Linked DNA regions of Saccharomyces cerevisiae S288C. The protein of the gene in region 4 interacts with the protein of the main gene of each other region in a biochemical or structural test. Each region holds a gene or a part of one and is shown on either strand. Other genes may lie near its edges. The genes, in order: GCR1, CCR4, TAF4 and RAP1.

The links.
Region 1: the proteins of RAP1 (region 4) and GCR1 form a complex in vitro, tested with the Saccharomyces cerevisiae proteins (2 studies listed by BioGRID).
Region 2: the proteins of RAP1 (region 4) and CCR4 form a complex in vitro, tested with the Saccharomyces cerevisiae proteins (one study listed by BioGRID).
Region 3: the proteins of RAP1 (region 4) and TAF4 form a complex in vitro, tested with the Saccharomyces cerevisiae proteins (2 studies listed by BioGRID, with this or other methods).

Annotation. Positions count from the first base shown.
Region 1 is NC_001148.4:410,520-416,661, forward strand, and holds GCR1 (transcription regulator GCR1), read left to right. Parts: upstream 1-1,734; coding exon 1,735-1,742; intron 1,743-2,493; coding exon 2,494-4,843; downstream 4,844-6,142. Other genes in the region: GPI2 (phosphatidylinositol N-acetylglucosaminyltransferase), read left to right, coding at 1-766; putative AAA family ATPase YTA6, read left to right, coding at 5,244-6,142.
Region 2 is NC_001133.9:109,769-115,522, forward strand, and holds CCR4 (CCR4-NOT core exoribonuclease subunit CCR4), read right to left. Parts: upstream 3,592-5,754; coding exon 1,078-3,591; downstream 1-1,077. Other genes in the region: nucleoside transmembrane transporter FUN26, read right to left, coding at 1-662; ATS1 (Ats1p), read right to left, coding at 3,846-4,847; DNA-dependent ATPase FUN30, read left to right, coding at 5,151-5,754. UniProt on the Saccharomyces cerevisiae protein: Acts as a catalytic component of the CCR4-NOT core complex, which in the nucleus seems to be a general transcription factor, and in the cytoplasm the major mRNA deadenylase involved in mRNA turnover.
Region 3 is NC_001145.3:274,443-278,510, reverse strand, and holds TAF4 (Taf4p), read right to left. Parts: upstream 2,467-4,068; coding exon 1,300-2,466; downstream 1-1,299. Other genes in the region: PLB2 (lysophospholipase), read left to right, coding at 1-950; MVP1 (Mvp1p), read right to left, coding at 2,959-4,068. UniProt on the Saccharomyces cerevisiae protein: Functions as a component of the DNA-binding general transcription factor complex TFIID. Binding of TFIID to a promoter (with or without TATA element) is the initial step in pre-initiation complex (PIC) formation.
Region 4 is NC_001146.8:239,373-244,672, reverse strand, and holds RAP1 (DNA-binding transcription factor RAP1), read right to left. Parts: upstream 2,985-5,300; coding exon 501-2,984; downstream 1-500. Other genes in the region: IES2 (Ies2p), read right to left, coding at 1-205; PPN2 (putative serine/threonine-protein phosphatase), read right to left, coding at 3,362-4,342; ssDNA-dependent ATPase MGS1, read right to left, coding at 4,672-5,300. UniProt on the Saccharomyces cerevisiae protein: Essential regulatory protein in yeast whose DNA-binding sites are found at three types of chromosomal elements: promoters, silencers, and telomeres.

The DNA.
Region 1 (6,142 bases), on a different chromosome or scaffold from region 4:
TGAGTTGAGAGCAAGACAAAAGGCTGAGAGTAACCAGAAGTCTGATAGAAAATTATCAGAAGCTGCTCGCGCTCAAATTAGGTTGGATTTTATAAGTTTCTACCAAACCATATTGAACACTTCTTTCATTTACATCACTTTTACATATATTTACTATTATGGCTTCGATCCTATTCCGCCAACTATTTTCCTTTCATTTATAACATTGATTATATCAAGGACGAAAGTCGACCCTCTATTGTCCTCATTCATGGACGTAAAGTCTTCGCTGATTATCACATTTGCAATGTTGACTCTCTCTCCAGTCCTCAAATCTCTTTCTAAAACAACTGCATCTGATTCCATATGGACATTGTCTTTTTGGCTGACCCTATGGTACATTTTCGTTATTTCGTCAACAAAGTCCAAAGATAAACCCTCTAACCTTTCCACCAATATACTTGTCGCCCTTGTTGCTGTCCTATCATCGAGGCTTTCGACCACAATCGACGTATTCTGTTTTCTTTTAATTTGTATTCAGTTGAATATCATTCTACCCACTTATTTATCGGTGACGAATAAGGTAGTACCAATAATTTCAAATATTATTGTATACTCATTTTTGAATGTTGCTCTAGGTTGGATTTATATGCTGTTGATTTTCTTTGCTTCAGTATTTTATATTACTGTTTTACCTAAGTGGTTCATCTACTGGAAAATCAATTATCATAAACGGGATAACGATCTACTAAGTACATGGGATGCAAGAACACCAATATTGGATTAGCGCAATCAAGAACATGATTTCCTTCGGATAAGCAAGGGAGGGGTACGACTTCTGCCCGCAGGGGCTTATTGCCTGTCCTCTTCCTCGACCCCACGGTATTTCATTATATATAGAGTCACTGTAATAATAATTATCATGAAACCTGACAAGCAAAGGCGTCGGGCAATTACCAAAGGGCAGTTCGGTCGATTAAGTTTGCTTCACTACAGATTATTCACATATCATACGACAACTTTAAAATTGAACATTCAGGAGATTTTTGAATGCATTGATGGGCCCTTGCACCTTAACCGGGTCCCAATATTAGAGAAACGCCCCCTTAAACTGAACACAAGACAATACTACCTGGCCAATAGGGTACAATTTGCGGCCGTGTTAAACAGGCGTTTCAGCGTCTACCGCTCCTAATTTAAAGTCACTTGTTTCTTGGTAGCAGCAGCTTCCTGTTTTCTTCTTTTTGGCACTTGGTTATGTGATAATATCACCCGGATGAGAAACCTTTAAAATAAGCGTTTGGGAGGGGAAAAAGTGCAGTAACTGTCACAAATTTAACAAACAATTTGTTCACAAGTTTTGCCTTATCGTTCATCACATGTTATTTTTTTCAATCTAGCCAAAGTATCTAAAGAAGAATTTTCGTCTCTCTTGTGCCTTCTCATAATGTTCAATTAAGATGCAGACGGCTTTGACATGTCATTAATTTACTGAATTTCTGACACTTCCCCACGATATTTATCATTTTTTACGTAATTAAGATTTAAACTCCGTACACCCGGCTTCCACAAATGTAGAATTTTCCGGAGCTTCGAACTTCTTGTTTCACGAATTAAAAGCATCCAACGTAGAACCACCCAACTCATCTTCCTAATGCTGAAGCTTCATCGGTAAACAAACCACAGTTAATAGCGAGAAAGTCGGCAAGTGACAAACGACGGTTATATTTAATTGGCCTTTGATATATATTGAAAATGGTATGGTATGATCATAACACGCATTCTGAAAATGTTATCTGGGAGGTTTTCGATGGGTATGGAGTTTTCCTTGATTCTCACTTATTATCCCTTGTATTGTAATTGATCCTTCAGTAATATTTGCAGCCTTTCACAACTATCCTTTTTTTCATTGCTTATTACTATTGAACCTTTTTTAGGAGTTGCCTGCTTATGCAATATAATTTGCTGACAAGTAGTAAATTACCAGCACAATATTAAGATTAAAAAAGAAATTAGCCAAGAGCTTGATATATTATCTTATACACAAACCTTTCCGACCTACTTGATAAAGCCACATACCTCTACCTCTTCTATTAGAAATAGAAAAGTACAAAAATAGCAAAAGGAAATAATTTCTTTAAAATAACATTGTGTGAGGTTCCAACTATGGATTATTAATAGAGTAACGCAAACTTAAGGAAAGGAAGTGCTTTACAATTAAGTATTTATAAGAACGAATTTATCCCCCAAAAAAAAGCACCTATACTTAATAAAAGGAGGGGAATAGCTATCAATTGAGTGTTGTCTGCGTCTGTCTGCGTACAAGAGGATGAATTTTCTGACTCAGGCTATGTCAGAAACTTTTCAAGGGACAAATAACAGGATAAAACGTAATGTCAGGACACAAAGTGTGCCATCAACTTCCTATAATAATGGCAAAGAATCATATGGACCAAATACTAACCAATTAAATGCCCTACTTTCTCAATTGGAACAGCAAACAAGTGTTGATAGTACCAGCACGAGCTCAAACTTTTATTCCATTGCACAATATATTTTACAATCATACTTCAAGGTCAATGTAGATTCTCTAAACTCTCTGAAATTGGTGGATTTGATAGTGGACCAAACTTACCCTGATTCTTTGACGCTGCGAAAGCTGAATGAAGGAGCAACGGGACAACCATACGATTATTTCAATACAGTTTCTCGTGATGCTGATATCTCCAAGTGTCCAATTTTTGCGTTGACCATATTTTTTGTTATACGATGGAGCCACCCAAACCCTCCAATTTCAATTGAGAATTTTACTACAGTACCGTTGCTAGATTCAAACTTTATTTCTCTAAATTCCAATCCTTTACTATATATTCAAAATCAAAACCCAAACAGCAATTCAAGTGTTAAAGTTTCAAGGTCACAAACGTTTGAACCTTCTAAAGAGTTGATCGATTTGGTATTTCCATGGCTGTCTTATTTGAAGCAGGATATGCTTCTTATTGATAGGACGAATTACAAGCTTTATTCTCTCTGTGAACTATTTGAATTTATGGGCAGGGTTGCCATTCAGGATCTCCGATATCTGAGTCAACATCCCTTATTACTACCCAATATCGTAACATTCATTTCAAAATTTATTCCTGAGTTATTCCAAAACGAAGAGTTTAAAGGAATCGGTTCAATTAAAAATTCAAACAATAATGCCCTGAACAATGTTACAGGAATAGAAACCCAATTTTTAAATCCATCTACCGAGGAAGTGAGTCAAAAAGTTGATTCTTACTTTATGGAATTATCAAAAAAATTAACTACAGAAAATATCAGGTTAAGTCAAGAAATAACACAACTAAAAGCAGATATGAACTCCGTAGGCAATGTTTGTAACCAAATTTTGCTGTTGCAGAGACAATTGCTTTCAGGAAATCAGGCGATCGGATCAAAGTCCGAAAATATTGTGTCTTCCACAGGTGGGGGGATATTAATACTAGATAAAAATAGCATCAATTCGAACGTACTGAGTAATTTGGTTCAGTCGATAGATCCTAATCACTCCAAGCCCAACGGACAAGCCCAAACACATCAAAGGGGTCCGAAAGGACAATCACATGCACAGGTTCAAAGTACTAATAGCCCTGCGCTAGCGCCAATTAACATGTTCCCGAGCTTAAGTAATTCTATACAGCCGATGCTTGGCACCTTGGCTCCGCAACCGCAAGATATAGTACAGAAGAGGAAGCTACCGTTACCAGGTTCAATAGCCTCTGCAGCAACAGGCAGTCCTTTTTCTCCATCACCCGTTGGTGAGTCTCCCTATAGCAAACGCTTTAAACTAGACGATAAACCAACTCCGTCTCAGACGGCTCTTGATTCCTTACTTACAAAATCCATTTCAAGCCCTAGATTACCCCTTTCGACGTTGGCTAACACAGCTGTCACGGAATCTTTTCGCTCACCTCAGCAGTTTCAGCATTCTCCAGATTTTGTAGTTGGTGGTAGCTCAAGTTCAACAACGGAAAATAACTCTAAGAAGGTAAATGAAGATTCTCCATCATCTTCTTCAAAACTAGCTGAACGACCTCGTCTTCCAAACAACGACTCCACTACTAGCATGCCTGAAAGTCCCACCGAGGTAGCTGGTGATGATGTTGATAGGGAGAAACCGCCAGAGTCAAGTAAGTCGGAGCCCAATGATAACAGCCCAGAATCGAAAGATCCTGAGAAAAATGGTAAAAACAGTAATCCGCTTGGTACGGATGCTGACAAACCAGTACCAATTTCTAATATTCATAATTCTACTGAGGCTGCAAATTCAAGTGGTACAGTGACAAAGACAGCTCCATCATTTCCGCAGAGTTCTTCTAAGTTTGAAATTATAAATAAAAAGGATACGAAGGCGGGGCCAAACGAGGCAATCAAATACAAGCTGTCCAGAGAAAATAAAACAATATGGGACCTATATGCGGAGTGGTATATTGGTCTGAACGGTAAATCTTCAATAAAAAAATTGATTGAAAATTATGGCTGGCGAAGGTGGAAGGTTAGCGAAGATTCACATTTTTTTCCTACTAGAAGAATTATTATGGATTATATTGAAACGGAATGTGATCGTGGCATAAAACTCGGCAGGTTTACTAATCCTCAACAACCGAGGGAGGATATACGGAAGATTTTAGTAGGGGACCTAGAAAAGTTCAGGATAAATAACGGTCTGACTCTGAATTCTCTATCATTGTACTTTAGAAATTTAACGAAAAATAACAAGGAAATTTGTATTTTTGAAAACTTTAAAAATTGGAACGTTAGATCAATGACAGAAGAAGAGAAATTAAAGTATTGCAAAAGGCGACATAATACACCATCTTAAGTTTATTGAGGTTGTCCGCGACAATAGTTCCTTCAACAAAATAACGAAGCGACGATAACGAGAAATGTCATTAGGTTATTACTACCTTTATAGAAAATATATATACTTATTTAATATTTATATAGATTTATGTGTGTACATACCTATGCGGATGTATGCCTATGTGGGAATTCCTAAATGTCTTTCCATCAACGACTAAATATATATTCTCATGACTGACTATATGGGTTACGAAAACTTAATTTTTTTGTCAAAGACCCTGGCGAATTGAGAAAACCCGCTGGATAGATGGGCTATCCGAAATTTTGAAAGATGGAAAAAACATTAATCTCATTAGCAAAAGAGGTAAGACCCTGGGTGAAGAAAAGTCCGAGGAGGGAACACAAAAAAGTCTAGGATAATGGCACATGAAAAGTTTAGTATACCTGAGAACTTCACATTAGCGCAGTCTTTGCAATTGCTTTACTCTGTTGTCAAAAATCAATATAAAAACCTAGCAGACCTAATAATCAATAGCAAAGGTAATAAGGACACAGTAACGTATGGGAAAATCCACAAAAACTTAGACACTTTACTGGTATACGTCAATGAAGGTCTACGAAAAATTGAAAAGACTTATACCTTAAAGAAAGGGTTAGGAAATCTTGTAGTTGATCATCCTGAATTGAGGAGCATCATTGAGGATTTCCAAATTCTTGGCCAGGATATAAGGATCGCACGTCGTAAAGCAGAAACGCTTATGGCCGAAGGAAACGGTAGTCCCTCTTTGTCATCCTCCTCTTCCGTTTTGGGCCTTGGGACAGGAAATGGTTTGCGTTTTCCAAAACTTTGGAGAATGGGTTCCAAAAGAGATAAATTGAAAGAAGCTGACGAAAAGGAGGCTAAAATCAACAAACAGGCTGATAATATCAGACGTGCTAGGAAATTAGAAGAAGAGAAAAAGTTAGGAGCAAAACTTCAGTATGAGAGGGACTTAGAACTTCAAAGGGAAAAATTGATCGAGTTAAAGGTTAAAGAAAAGGTCGAATTTGAAGTGGCCCAAAAGTTGGAGGAGGAGAGAGTTAAGAGAGAGGAAGAAGAACGCAAACATAGAGAACAAGCGGAGAAAAAACGTATATCAACCCTGAAACATGAGAGGAAAACAAATTACAAATCAAGGGCTAGCCTCGACAACTTCTCTTCCAGTAGCAAATCTTCTGGAAAGATTGACAACTCCCTAATTAAAAGAAGATCACTTGACGTTGTACGGACTTCAGGCGAAAGAGTACGAACGCCAGTAAGAAAATCAATGGAGGCAGC
Region 2 (5,754 bases), on a different chromosome or scaffold from region 4:
CCAGCAACGGCTTGCCCCACCATGACACCTTGACTGTACTCGGAACCGAAGACGTTGGCTATGGCCATGATACCATTCTGTGTCATGGCTGTCCCCATGGAACTGATCACTACAAGCATCATTATAAACATGAAATTGAACCATTTAGGTAAAAGGAAATGCAAAATTGTAAAGAAGCACATGACAGTAAAGACAATAATCTCCCACACAAGCCCGTTTATGACCCTTCTCGAGTATTTGTACTGTCTTTTGGCCAAGTAGATGTTGAACAGCATTGACGATATGGTAGAAAAGGACATCATAGAGCTTGTGAAGATCTTTGCCCAAATGGAGGTGTCTTTGAAAATATCGTGCTTAAAATATTGCGAGGCACTGAGGATACAGTTCCACGGCCATAAAAGACCTATTCCTATGGCGAAAAATGTAATATATGAAAGATTTTTCAACTTTTTTCTTAACGGCAATGTATCCAGTGGTTCGGTTGACACAGATTGCTCTCTTTCAGAATAATTATCGCCTTCTTCATCTGAGTGCTCGTTGTTCTCTGATTCATGTTCTTCTCCAGAGCGTGATATCTCCTCTGAATGCGTATCGGCCAGTGCAGGCTCTGGCACCGCAAGGATTGGCTTCTTGATGGTATCAGTGTCCGCACTAGTACTCATTTTTGCAATCTGGTATGCTTTCTTGCGTTTGATGATAAGCTGTCGCCGTAACGTAAATCATTCATCCTTTCCTATGATTTTTTAAGTCAATTTTTTTTTCTTTTTCGGGAAATTAATTCTGTTTTTGGCATTAATAACAACAAGAAGAATTAAGGATTCGTTATAGAATACAAGATTCTTGGTTTGGTTAAATAATTTTGGCTCTCTTAAATATTATAAAAAGATACTTAAGTAAGAAAGAAACAGGACGAAAAAGATACGCAAAAGAGAGAGAGAGAGAGAGAGAAAAAAAAGATGAGAAAAAAAAGTATAACGTGAAGGCTTTATGGGAAGTGCGGTGAGATTGGGATCGTTTCAATTTTATAATGAGGTAGTGTACAGAGAGGAGGGAGGGAGTGGGATGAAAGTGTGCGGTTTATACTTTCTTACTGCCTGTGTTTGTCTTCATAAATTCAAATCTTGCTAACAATGGTATATGGTCACTGGGGAATTTGTCGTTGGGGAACCCGATAAACTTACTCACGTATTCAGGGTCCACTTCACCCAATAGCCCACGCACCCTTAGAGCATGTGTAGAAAACCATATATAGTCGATAACATCTGTGAATGACGGTGTGAAATTGGTGAATGGTAGTTCTCCGATACAATTATAACTTGATTTGAGAGCCAAGTTATGTGAGAAATTTTTCTCCGACATGTAACCGAAATCTCTACCATTTCCCTCTTGATGTATTTGGACACGGCCTGTATTTATCAATTCGTATACGGCGGAGTTGATGTATGAATTGAAGTCACCACAAATGAGCACAGGAAATTTCTTAATGTCCTGTCTAAAATTGTGCGATGTCTCCTCCTTTAGCAGCGTTTCCAGATGATCTAACAGGACACCTACTTGGAATGTCTTGACATCATTAAATTTTGGATCCCAGTGCAAATGCGTGGTGACCGCCCATATGGTGTCGCCACTAGGAATGTGTTGTAGCTTTAAGAACAGTGCAACGTTGTCTTTGTTCATTGCACGGTTTAAATAATCTTCAGTTCTTTGGAACTTCTTGTGTTTCATCCAAGCACCGCTGAAATCCATGGCGTCTTTGGTGATCAACTTGAATTGGTCCCTTTTGAAAAAAATGCAACACCCGTCCACTTTCTTGGAGTCCTTGGAATGCATGGTCTTGGCTCTTGCCTTTGCATGGAAGATGCCTGTATAACCGTGCTTGTCCAATAGGGGCACCCAATACTCTTCAAAAGTCTTAGACTCCACTTCTTGTAAACACAACAGATCACTGTCGTACGAGAGAATCTGCTCCTTTAATTTATTGCGCCTGTAATCCCAACTTAACGCCCACGACGGTGTGTAACGGTACATTTTTGGGGTGGCATAGTGTTGACATAAGGTGTTGTAGGATAAGACGGTGAACGTCCTCTTGGCTAAATCGGTGGCCAGATGCTCAGTGGATTGCTGCAAAGAATCGTACTCCCTCTGTGGTTCCCCATCGGTATTGATTTCGATGAACCTACGTTCATGCGGTAAGGGAATCTCTGGTCTGTTGTCCCTTAGGTAGAAAATCAATCCCGTGACAGATTTTTCTGTAAGGATCTTTAAAAACTGTTTTTCTAAGGGGTTTCCTTCTACACCAAGAAACTGAAGGTTACACAGGTTCCCAAACTCCCATGGTAATGTGGTGACCATGTTATCAAAAAAGTAGAAGTATTTCAATTGGAAACATGAGCCTAGTTCCGCTGGTAGAGATGTTAACCTATTATGCGACAGGTCCAAAACGCGTAGGTTGCTTAGGTTCTTGATCTCCGCTGGCAGTTCCGTGAGGCTATTGCCATTCAAATATAGTCTCGTTAGAAAATCGTACTTGAAGATGTTGGCGCTGATATTGAAGATTTGCAAGTTGGACAAATCTAGCGCGTGCCATAATTGGTCGTCGTATTTCGAGTCCTTGGGCATGACCATTCTGTTTTCAATGTCGTCATCTTCGTCGATGCTGTACTGAGACAGTTTCTTGTGTTGTAAGAGCGCCTGGTTGGCTTCGTCCTTGCCATTAGCAAACAGCTCTATCTTGGGAGTCAATGGTGTAGAAACTGCACTGTTAGTTGCCGTGCCTGAGGGAGTGCTATCTCCCGTAGGTTGTTGTTTCTTTGCTGTCTTGCTGTCGGTGAGAGTGTCGGCCATTTCCATCAAGGCTTGCTTTGTGCAGTCTACCAGTGATTTGGAGGCTTCTGCAATGTGAGATTGCTGGAAATCGGTGGGCTGCAAAGCTGGTGGTGCAGCCTGAGGTCCGGGGCCAAATGGGCCCGGGACCTGCTGCTGTGCCTGTTGCTGCGCTTGTTGCTGAGCTTGCTGAGCCTGTTGTGTAGCCAAATACTTCTTCATAGCGTTTTGTCTAGCATAAATGTTGGGTTGCCCCAGAGATTGTGCGGACACTGCAGCCAGATGCAATTGAAGCTTCCAGATCGGATTGTTTAGTAAAGAAGGGTCATCCAAGTGCGGGTGTAATAAAGGGTTACTGGCGTTCACATTGATGTTCACAGGCGTACCAACGGTAGGAACCATCCCTATAGAATTTACTGCGGCTGTGGAGGCATTCATCATCACCCCGCTTCCACCGCCGTTGTTGTTGTTGTTGTTGTTGTTGTTATTGTTGTTATTGTTGTTATCCATGTTCATATTGAGCATGTTCGCGTTCCCATTAGCCAATTGGTCGAGCAACTGGCGCGAGTTGTTGTTGCTGGAAGTGTGTACATCGCTGTTGTTCATGAGTCCCGGTGGAGGTATCCCGGTGAGCTGGTTCATGTGTAGCTGCTGCTGTAGAGCGTTTGGTGTACCCTTTCCTAGTAGCCCGGCATGCTGCTGTTGCTGCTGTTGCTGTTGCTGCTGCGGGCCCACATTAGGGTAGCCTAGTAAAGAAGGGTCGTTCATTAGCGGTAGTTTGCAGGGATAACGTCAGTCGGAGTTCCCTTGCTGGTGTCCCTTATGCTGTGCCCTTGTGCTTGAGAACCTTCTCTAAGGTGGAAACTTTTTCAAATTTTTTCGTTGTTGGCCCGTTTTTCGCAAGTACGGGCGATAACAAAAGGCCTAAACGGCTACTTTACCTTTGAGATCTACCACGATGAGAATTAATGCTGAATGGACATCTATGTATATGATAGTGGGTATATAGTTACTTATCAGTGCTAGAGCACGATCCACGTGGTGGCACATCCGCCAAACACGCGAGGTTTTCCAGAGTATTGGCCCACGAGCTGCAGTCCAGGCTGGGAGCCCTTTTGCGGGCCGCAGTTGCCATGCTCTCCCCAGCCCCAGCAGTATACATTGTAACAGTGAGACTTGCCTTCTTGATTAGCAGTAGTTAGAATACCGTGCTCACTCCCGGTTGCAACACCGACAATAGGGAAGTCTAGGCGCTCTTGCGGGAAGAGTTGGGAATGTGTGCCCCTACCAAACGACTCTACCGTATTGAGGCGCGCATTCCACAGGTGGATCGAGGTCCACATGCACAGTACCACTAGATTGTGTCTTTTTTGCTGTTGTTTGAGCTCGAACCCAGTGGGCAGGCGACCGGATGCGTGCACTATGCGGCCGCCCTCGTCCACTATGACCATGAAGTCCTTGCCCATGGCCACGTAGTCTACGGCCACAGACCCGGTATCGTACACCAATACGGGCTCTTTCAGTGATCGGGATTTGGGCTCTTGCAATTGACACTTTGTGTTGCTGCCCCAGCCGTATACTCGGGTGCCTTGCACCACCACAAAGTTCTGGAAACATCCGTATACTGCGATGCGCTCATCGTTGGAATTCAATGGCACATGTTGCTGAGTGAACTCGTAGCAACCGCCTCCTCTCTGCCATACACGGCCATCAGCATCCACAATAACTGTCGTGTCCCAGCCGCACGCCACATCCACCACGGGTGCCGGTACTTCCACGGGCCTCCAGTCATGCACCTGCCGCAGTGCTTGCGCACTATCCAGTTCTCCCCGTCTGTTATCTCCACATCCTACCAGATTCCCGTCATTTGTCAGCATCACGCTGTGGTTCCCACCGCACGCTATCTTCCTGACTATTGCTCCATCATCTCCTGGCACAGACCTCTGTGGGGTATCCATATCCTCATCGTGCCCCAGTCCCAGTTGCCTTTGCCCATTAGACCCAAACGCATACACACAACTCATCGATACAAGCCTGTTATAGCCTTTAATGATCACATTCCATCACTTGCGCTTTGGATCTGCCTGCATTATCAAGGCTCAAACGGCTGCGTTACCCCCGTCGCCGCGAAATTTTTCATAATTTTTCACTTTGTAGGATTAAAAGAGATCATGAGCCCATCTCGCAATGCAACACGTAACTTAAATCAGTACTGGCGTGTGCTATAGTGCTCTATATTCGAGTTTGTTGCTACTGGTGGACACCCGACTATCTACAGTAAGGAACGTAAACAAGAAAAAGAGAGAAAATACGCTATAGTTGAAAACATGAGTGGTTCGCATTCAAATGATGAGGATGACGTAGTGCAAGTGCCCGAGACGTCCTCTCCCACCAAGGTAGCATCGTCGTCTCCCTTAAAGCCTACTTCGCCAACAGTTCCGGATGCAAGTGTGGCGTCTTTGAGAAGCAGGTTTACTTTCAAGCCTTCAGATCCCAGCGAAGGAGCTCATACTTCGAAGCCGCTCCCATCTGGGAGTCCTGAGGTAGCACTGGTTAACCTTGCGAGAGAGTTCCCCGATTTCTCTCAAACTCTGGTGCAGGCTGTTTTCAAATCTAACTCTTTTAACTTACAGTCTGCCAGGGAACGTCTTACAAGATTGAGGCAGCAAAGACAAAATTGGACATGGAACAAGAACGCATCTCCCAAGAAGTCAGAAACCCCGCCACCTGTCAAGAAGTCATTACCACTGGCAAACACAGGCCGTTTATCATCTATCCATGGCAATATCAACAACAAATCCTCCAAGATTACCGTGGCCAAACAGAAAACGTCCATTTTTGACCGTTACTCAAACGTCATCAACCAGAAACAATACACTTTTGAGCTGCCAACTAACTTGAATATAGACTCGGAGGCACTGAGCAAGTTGC
Region 3 (4,068 bases), on a different chromosome or scaffold from region 4:
ACACTTCCAGTATTGTTGATGCCGATGATTTGTTTTTAGTTGATGGTGGTGAGGACGGCCAAAATTTGCCGTTGGTTCCACTAATCAAGAAGGAACGTGACTTGGATGTGGTGTTCGCATTGGATATATCCGACAATACTGATGAATCATGGCCAAGTGGTGTGTGCATGACGAACACTTATGAGCGCCAGTATTCTAAGCAAGGTAAAGGAATGGCTTTCCCATATGTTCCAGACGTTAACACCTTCCTTAACTTGGGCTTAACTAATAAGCCAACGTTTTTTGGTTGTGATGCAAAAAATTTGACGGACTTGGAGTATATTCCACCTTTAGTTGTATATATCCCAAACACAAAACATTCATTCAATGGTAACCAAAGTACTTTGAAGATGAACTACAATGTTACAGAACGTCTTGGAATGATCAGAAATGGTTTTGAAGCTGCTACAATGGGCAACTTTACGGATGACTCTAACTTTTTAGGTTGCATAGGTTGTGCCATCATTAGACGTAAGCAAGAAAGCCTAAATGCCACCTTGCCCCCTGAATGTACCAAATGTTTTGCGGATTACTGCTGGAACGGCACACTAAGTACCTCAGCTAATCCTGAACTATCGGGAAATAGTACGTATCAAAGCGGTGCTATTGCCTCTGCAATCTCTGAGGCTACTGACGGTATTCCAATAACGGCTCTCTTAGGTTCATCAACCTCCGGAAATACTACATCAAACTCAACAACCTCGACTTCATCAAATGTCACTTCTAACTCAAACTCTTCGTCAAATACAACTTTAAACTCAAATTCTTCATCCTCTTCAATTTCTTCCTCTACAGCTCGTTCTTCTTCCTCTACGGCAAACAAAGCGAATGCTGCGGCTATTTCCTATGCGAACACTAATACTCTAATGAGTTTGTTAGGTGCCATAACAGCATTATTTGGACTAATTTAGAAGCCCTTCTGAGAAACAATACATAATACATCCTTTCACCCAAAAGGATAATGACAAGTAAATGTATAAAAATGTGTATTAATATGAAAATTTTTTTCCCGATTATCACTCCTCTTTCCGCTATTTTTGGTAGAAGGATGCCTAACTTCAAGGATTGATATATCTTCCTTATTATAAAGTTAAAATGAACAAAGCAAAAAGGTTGAATGGTCCTCAATAGCTTGGCGATGACTTGACTAAGCGACACCAACCGGCCTTCTTTATGTTAGTCAATCTTGTTTTTTTTATATCCTAGTTTATTTGAAACACTATACCTTTAAATATTATAGACAGTATAAGAGATGAGCAATTAATCTCTGATCTTGGCATAACCCTTTGAAATAATAGTCTGAACGCTGTTGCGCCTATTTTCGAGAGCAAAGAGTAAATCCCTCATTACTATACCAGGCTCCTCTCTAGCTTCTCTAAACTTTAGCCCACTTTCTCCTCTAGCCGTGATGTCGGAGGCGACTTTGCCTGAAGATTTTGCTCCCAAGGACGTCGGCTTATTTACTGATGAAGTTAGCCAACCATACTGTTTTTTACTACCTGCTCTAAGGCCAGCCGTAACGTTCGATGCTCTGTGTAACGTCTCTTCGGAATCAATCTTATTTTCATAATCTTCCTTCTCGAGTCCCAACGCAATTCTTTTTTTCACACGCCTTTCTTCTTCTTTTTTTTGAATTAGTGCAATGGCTCTTAAAGCCGCAGAAACTTCACTTCTTCTACCAGAATTTATCTTGACTGCTTTTCTTCTATGTCGGGAGATGACAATGGCATTTGTTAGGATATCTCTCATATAGTTTTCGCAGGCACTTGACATCATGTCCAAAATTTCAGGATTCTTTGTAGGGGTCAGGTTGAAGTTTTGCTCTTTTCCGACTTTCCTCATATAATTGGAAACTTGTTCCGGGTGAAGGAATGGTAAATGGTTGGGGATCTTAACGTTATTTGTTTGAACTTGGGATTTTGAGGCATTAATAGATGAATTTAGAAGAGCCTCCTCCTCCCTAACATCGATACCTGCGGAAAAAAGGACATCTTGCATTTTATTTGGGTCTGATTGTTGTTGTGCATTCTGTCCTGAGGAGTTGGATGCTTTGCCATCTTTAGAATCTGCTTTACTCGTACCCTTGTTTTTTTTTTTATCATCCTTTTTTGGTAGAGCTAGTCCAGCAGGGCTAGAGAACATATTGTTTGTATCTCCATTACTTTCAACTCTCAAATTAGTTGTGGGTGATACATTTTTAGGAAGAACAGAATCATCCGTATTACCTGCCGCATCATTGTGAGTTGAAGATACATGTGCGGTTGATTTTATCTGGCTAGGCGACGGAAGGCTATGTGATAGCTCACTAGCTTTACCTGGTGACAAATTAAATGCTGGTTTCGTTTCTGGGACGGTATGTTGATATTTAGGCGTGTCTGACGCTGATACTCCAGTGCCATCAGATGGCTTTTTCGGCGAATTTGCCATTATGTGATATGATGCCGAAAGACAATATGTGCACTACCAATCGATAAAAGCACTTTAGATTACGTGCAGGTGAGGTTATACAGAATGCTGATTAGAAAAACTTTCCCATTTGAGCTATTACACGGACCACATTCGACTTATCGATGTTCAGTTCATTCACTTTTTCAAATTAAGATCATTTATGACGAATATTGAATACTGGAGAATACACATTTTTAGCGGGCGTCGTTTGTCCGGCATATTATAAGGCTATCTAATCCAAATTATCGAAAGATTTGTTACCTTCTAATAAATATGGGAACCTATAATATCCGAATTAGGCTTCATACACTGTATTTAAAATTGAAAAACAAATAAATAACAATTTATAGTGGTACATATCTTTACTCTATTTACCTAATTATTTCTCTGTTTAGTACGTCAATTACATCTGTTGGATATCCTTCAATAATGTTTTGGCAGACTAAGTGGTTAGTCTTCACTCCGTAAAATTTATTCACGAGAAATCGGCATATCCATGATGCTTGTGACGAGCTTTTCCCACTCATTCAGTTTGAGACCGGCATGGTTGGAGTTCAATTTTGCCCAATCCTGGAAGGCACGTGTTATTAAAAATTGGGTTTCCTGAAAGATTGTAAACTCTTCCAAAATACATTGTCTTATCAACCAAGCTCTGTTTGATTGCTCTATTATGCTTCTTCTATCCTTCTGTATGATTTTTTTTATCCTGTCGTACTCTGCTCCACTGACATCTGGTTTTCCTTTCATCGATTCCAATTTCTCTTTGTTCAATTCGACATGTCTTTGCAATTCAACTACGTTATTTGCAGCCATAATTTTGTATCTCTCAAATAAACTTCTCAAAGAAAGTAAGATGTCCGTGAAAATTTTGAATTTTGGCGATAACGTTCCCGATATTTCTTCTGTTTCTTGTTTGCAGATACTACTCGTAGTTTCTAGGTGTTTTTTAATTATACTCAAATTGTTATTAATGTCCAATATGGTATCATTTTGTTGTACCGGATATAGTTTTGGAGTCACTTCGCTAAAGTTATCCACTAGTGTCTCAAAAAAATTTCTTTCGTGTACCATTTGCATAATTCTTTTTTCATGCCTTTCCAAGAGAAGCGTGATTCTATACCATAATTCCATCGAGGTATCGATACAAGATGCAGCCTGGTTCCATTGTTCTGCAAACTCTTTTTTCCACATTTTCATAAATTCTTGTGATATCTTTTTATCAGCGAATTCGTTTGAAGTGTCATAGGTTGCTTGCTTTCTCCAACTTGTTAAGTCAGTGCGTACGGTTAAAAATGTTAACACTAAATCATCATTACTTAATTTAGGGTGTTTCATTACCAAATTAATGAATCTAGATAACCCTATTCTTCTTTTCTTCAAAAAAAGCTGGTCTGCGTTTTGGGATCCAATTCTTTTGGGAGGTAGCTCAGGGATCATTCTAAAAGGGTATCTTTTCAGCAGAATTTCTCTTAACCATAAGAAATCAGAGTATCTTCTTACGACAGTACGTTCTTCAGAAGGCGAGGTACTTGGAAGAGCAATGAGATGTTTCACTAAATAGTTTGCGTGCTTGAAAAGTAA
Region 4 (5,300 bases):
CCACAGAAAGTTCTTTATCTCTAATGCGTTTTGAGGTTCTTACACCCTTAGGTACACTCCTACGTGCTGTTCTTCTAGATGATTTGGCTGTGACTATCTGATCGTCAATATCTTCCGTATAATCATCATCGTCAATGTATTCTTCCCCACCAGCTGAGACGCTGTCGGATAACTCTGCCTCAATGTCACTTGCTTCACTGTCCATTGTAGTCTGCTAATCGCCAGTTATTTGCTAGTTAGGCGTTTTATCCTTGAAGAAAAGACACGTTAAAAATGAGAATCTTCGTTCTGCGTTATACTTTCCTCCTTTTCTTCTCTCTTTTTTGCTAATGGGATTCTATAAAACTGTTCCGCCTTAATCATTGTAAGAATTTTGAAAATTAAAATACGTAAAAGTTTACATAAATTATACATTGAACTGAAAAACAAAGTAGAAAACGTGAATCAGTGAAATAAAGGAGTAAAATAAGTTAAACAATGATGTTACTTAATTCAATTACTCATAACAGGTCCTTCTCAAAAAATCTTTTCCTCATTTCCATTCTACCAGTTCCATGCTTTTTAACCAGTTTCCTTATTTGTTCTTGATCATTGCTTTTTAGCGATTCGTCGTCATCATGTGTCCAAATACCAGGAACGTTGGGAGGAGGATTAACATTGTCCTTAAACATGTTCAAGAAATAGCGAGGAAAGACCATCAGATCCCCGGATAAACACGTCAATATGCTCGTACTGAAATTTTTACGTATACCAGTTTCATCGCAAAGATCCTGTACCAGTTTTTCAGCCTGTGATGGCTCATAATCTCCTGAAATAACTTCATGAAGTTTATCCATAAATTGTCTCGTACTGCCAAAATGAAAGAACAATGGCAGGAAAAGATCTGTTGTTGCAATTTTTGGTGGAAAGCTTATGGTATCAGGATCAATATTATCATATATATCTTCATTCGAAAAATCGCTTCTTATAGCTTCCGCAATCTCGTGTGGATACTCAAAGGGCAAACTATTTGAAATATTGGATAGATCATTCTTTAAACTGGAAATGAAATTCATGGTATCTTCGTCCAGTAATTCGTTTTCTGGTATAGCGTAAGAGTTGGAAGCAGCGGCAGCAGCAGCGGCAGCAGCATTAGCGGACGCTGCATTGGCAGTAGGCTGAACATTTCTTTGAGAACTATAATTTCTTGCCCTCTTGGCGGCAGAGTTATAATTGCCAGGAGTGGGAACGCCAGGCCTCTTGGGTCTATTGGTGAGGTTCTTCATCGGTTCCGGCTCTCTATTCTGAGCTTTTTCAGCTTCATAATAACTAATATAATCATCAATGCCGTAAGCGAGAAGAAACTTCCTAAACCTATCTCTCCAAGCATTCTCAGTATGTGCTGCATGCTCTTCGGCAAAATGCTTGAAAAATTCTCGTGCAATCGGTCCCCTACGGCTTTGGGTTCTGTAAGCTGCAAAGTTGGGTTCACTCCCTGGCACATGATTTGGATCCATTGTCATATTCCTCCTCGCTATAGCAGTGGGTGTATCCTCATCTGTGATAAGTGATCTTCCAGTATCAGGGTCGATTTGAAACAAATCACGATAAAACTGCTTCTTGACCGCGATTGCCAAAGTGTAATCTTCATCTGCTGAAAATTTCCTTTTAATTGATGGTGGCAAAACTTTAGTCTTTATCAGATTTCCATCGTCGTCTCTAACCAATTTACCAAACTTGTCAACCTCATAAACGTACTCTAGTCTTTTGGAAAGATAGACTCTAAATCGGTGCCTAATAGAATTACCCGTGTGGTTAGGCACATAATGGGATATTTCATCGTAAAGAGTATGTGTTGTACGCCTGGTTGGATTTTTTCTCACAACATCCAAAATAAACTCATCTTCCTCATCTGTAAAAGAAGCTTTATTGTGGGAGGGCAAAGCGCCTCTCGAAATCATGGACCTTTGTGCTTGAAAAGATGCATTCCCCTCATCTGCTGTTTGAGGGTTGTTGTCCTGTGTCAAAAGATCATTGTCTTCGTCGTTGACGTTGCTATTATTATTATTGGAGGTATCTTTTTGAGGTTGTTCGATCTGGACCAAGTCATTGTGCCCTCCGCTTGTGATTGATGCGGTGCTGCTTACATGTTGACGAAGGAGCTGAGCTTGCTCTTGTAATCTAGCTTGTTGTTCAGCGTCTACCATAACTTTTTCGCTGGTTGAGTCTTCCGTAGCGCCATTAGTATTCGTAGAGATTATTTCTGTTTTGGGCCTGATAGAATCCTTGTTATCGCTATTGCTATTGCTATTATCTACACCATTAGAATGCGATTCCTCCTGCAACCTACTATCGACAACTTCTCTAAAGTTATCGTATGGTACTAAATAATTTTCCATGTTCAGTAGCGAGTTGCTTTGACAACATGCCTTAATATAAGTCGGAGTTACCGTTGGTAAATTGGTATGATTATAGGGTGACACGATGAAAACATTCTCTTTTGATTCTCTTGGCTTGGAGTCTAGCACTTCACCACCGTTTGCTCTAATCAGACGCGCTAATTGATCAATATCATTTAAAGAGTCATGCGCATCCGCGTCGCGATTAAGATAGAATTTCATATTTGACAGAGGAGGACCACTTACTTGTTCCTTTTTCTCATCAGCAGCGGTGTCATCAGTAGTAGGTTCAGTAACAGATGCACCTGATGTCGAAGCAATGTTAGCGGTAGCAGCAGTATCAGCAATGGAAGGCGTGGTAGTTGTTACACCGACTTCAGTGGTATCATCATCATCTTTCTTTTCGACCTCCGTCTGATCCACTTTCTCACTAGTTTCAGCAGCAGTAGCACCAGTGTTTTCTTCGTTTTGATTAGCTTTTACCTCAGCGGCTGAATCCGATGGCGCTGTGACTGCAGCAGAACCACTGTCAACAACGACCATACTCGGATCCAATGCATCAACATATTCTGCTGGTGCAGTTTCAAAATCATCTGGACTAGACATATTGAGATAATCTGTACGCAAATAGTGTCTTATGTAGGGCGGTTGCGTATACAACGGTTTGTGTTTACTACCTTTTGGGCTATGGGTTTGTTTTGTTTAAAACGTGTATTGATGGTGTTTAGGTGCTGGATGTTGGGTGTTGAAGAAATGATTGCGGTTGTCTGTTTTCGGTTTTGTTTTCTTTTCTCGCTAAATTTTAAAACTTCAACAACGAAGAAGAGGCGGGTAGCGGCCATTGGGCAAGAATACTTGTAGCTCCAGCGAAAGTTTCATTGAAATTTAAGATTCAGTATTATGAGTTACATAATAATATTCATATCTTTTTCATATAGTACATTATATAAAATCTGTTGCGCTTTTAAGTAGTACTTTTTGTTTTAAGAGCATTGTACTTGAATTAATTCATAGTCATATTGCCCCTTCTTAATATCGTACTTCACTTTCATAGATGAAAGCAGATTGTTCTTTATACATGCTGTGTCCAAACCTTTGGTCTGTCTCCGTAGGTTTAGTCCCATGGATGCATCGTGCCCGTAAAATACTTTGGCGTTACTAAAGTGGTCTCCGTATTTGTCCCACAGTGTGTACCATCTCACATAATTCTTGTTTTCCTTTTCACGTGATGTTTTTGACCAGTTCTTCTTATCAACGTACTTCATGTTTGACAGAGAGCTCACGCCCGGAATTTGGTTGGGCTTCATGAAGTCTCCCGGAACCATCCCTGCATGTGCACCAAAGAGTATATCACCGGTAATATCCAGATCTAGTTCTATGGCCATAGAACAATGTTCCGCTAGCTGACTTAATTTGGAAAACCCAAGTTCGCGAGCTAACCGTCCATGTGCGTTGCTGATTTTAGAGATGTCTTGTGGTATGAAATTAGTCTCCGTACTGAAAGTTAAAGGTGTCATTAATTTGGGGCGTCTTACCCATTTCGAGAAGTCTGGGTTTAAATAGGCCATCATGACCAATATTTCATGATTGCCCAAAACGCACTTGACTTGATCCTTGTGATTTAGAATATACGACACGACCTTGTCTGAGTCCGGGCCCTTGTGAATAAAGTCACCCAGCAATATCATTGTTATATTTTCTCCTAGTCCTCCAATCTTGTCATCAATGAGTTCTATGAACTCATCATAGTTACCATGAACGTCACCAACAAAAACGTACTCCTTATTTAAATCTGTTACATGCTCAATTTTCTTCAAGGTGCTAATTGTAGGCAATAAGGAAACTGGTGGAGACAACCGAGGGTTATCAAACTTGAATATATATAGTGTATAAACGCAGCATGCCACAAATAATATCAATGCTGTACTAAGTGTAGCGGCTCGTCTTTTCCGCTTATCTTCCATTTTTGCGTATCTATGCTCCTCAAGCCTGGCTCATTTTACAAGCTGGAAGGTCGAGGAAAAGGAAGAACTAATTCAAGAATAATGTGCTCTTCTTATAGGATGCGTATATGTTCTAATATATCTCAGATGGGCCCGCGAGACTTTTCTAGCATGAAAAAAAAAGGTGGATCCTTGATTATCTAAAATTATAGTTTATATCGTTCATGCTGCACAAAAACGTGCCAGCAATGCAATGCGCCTCAAGCGTAAAAAAACAAGCGGCATTGGCCAACAGAGAAAAAAATATGAATTGTAGACGCGGCATTGAGAGAAGTATGGAAGACCCTTGACTAACCCTGATATGACTGTCTCAAGTCAGGATCTTCTTTGTCTCCTAAATGTTTGCCGTCCAGGAACTTTAAGTCAGTTTTATTTGGACATTTCTCGAGCACTTCTTTGGGAAAGTAGTCTTGTTGGACTTTTCCTTCAATATAATCGGGATTGTACTTGTAGCCTTTATGATAACCCAGCTCCTCCATCAATTTGGTTGGCGCATTTCTGATATGCATCGGTATCTCACTGCTTGCTAAACTGTACATGTTCTCGCTCATCATTGCCCTTAATTTCTTCCAAGCTCTATATAGTTCTACTGACTTTGGTGCCCTAGCCAAAGCAACACAACATTGCGCCAGTGCAAGGTCTGCCTCTGGCAAACCAACTTTCATTACTGCGTCATGTGCCGCGACAGCCAAGGGCAATAATGAACTATCCCGTAATCCGATATCTTCAGAAGCTATTCGAATCATTCTTCGGGCAACATACAATGGGTCCTCTCCTCCCTGCAACATTCTTGCTAAATAGTACAGTGAGGCGTTTTCGTCCCCACCTCTAATGGATTTATGAAACGCAGAGATTGTATCATAATGGTTATCTCCCTTTGGGTCATAGTATGTATTCAACCCGTTGCTGCTGTTGTTCT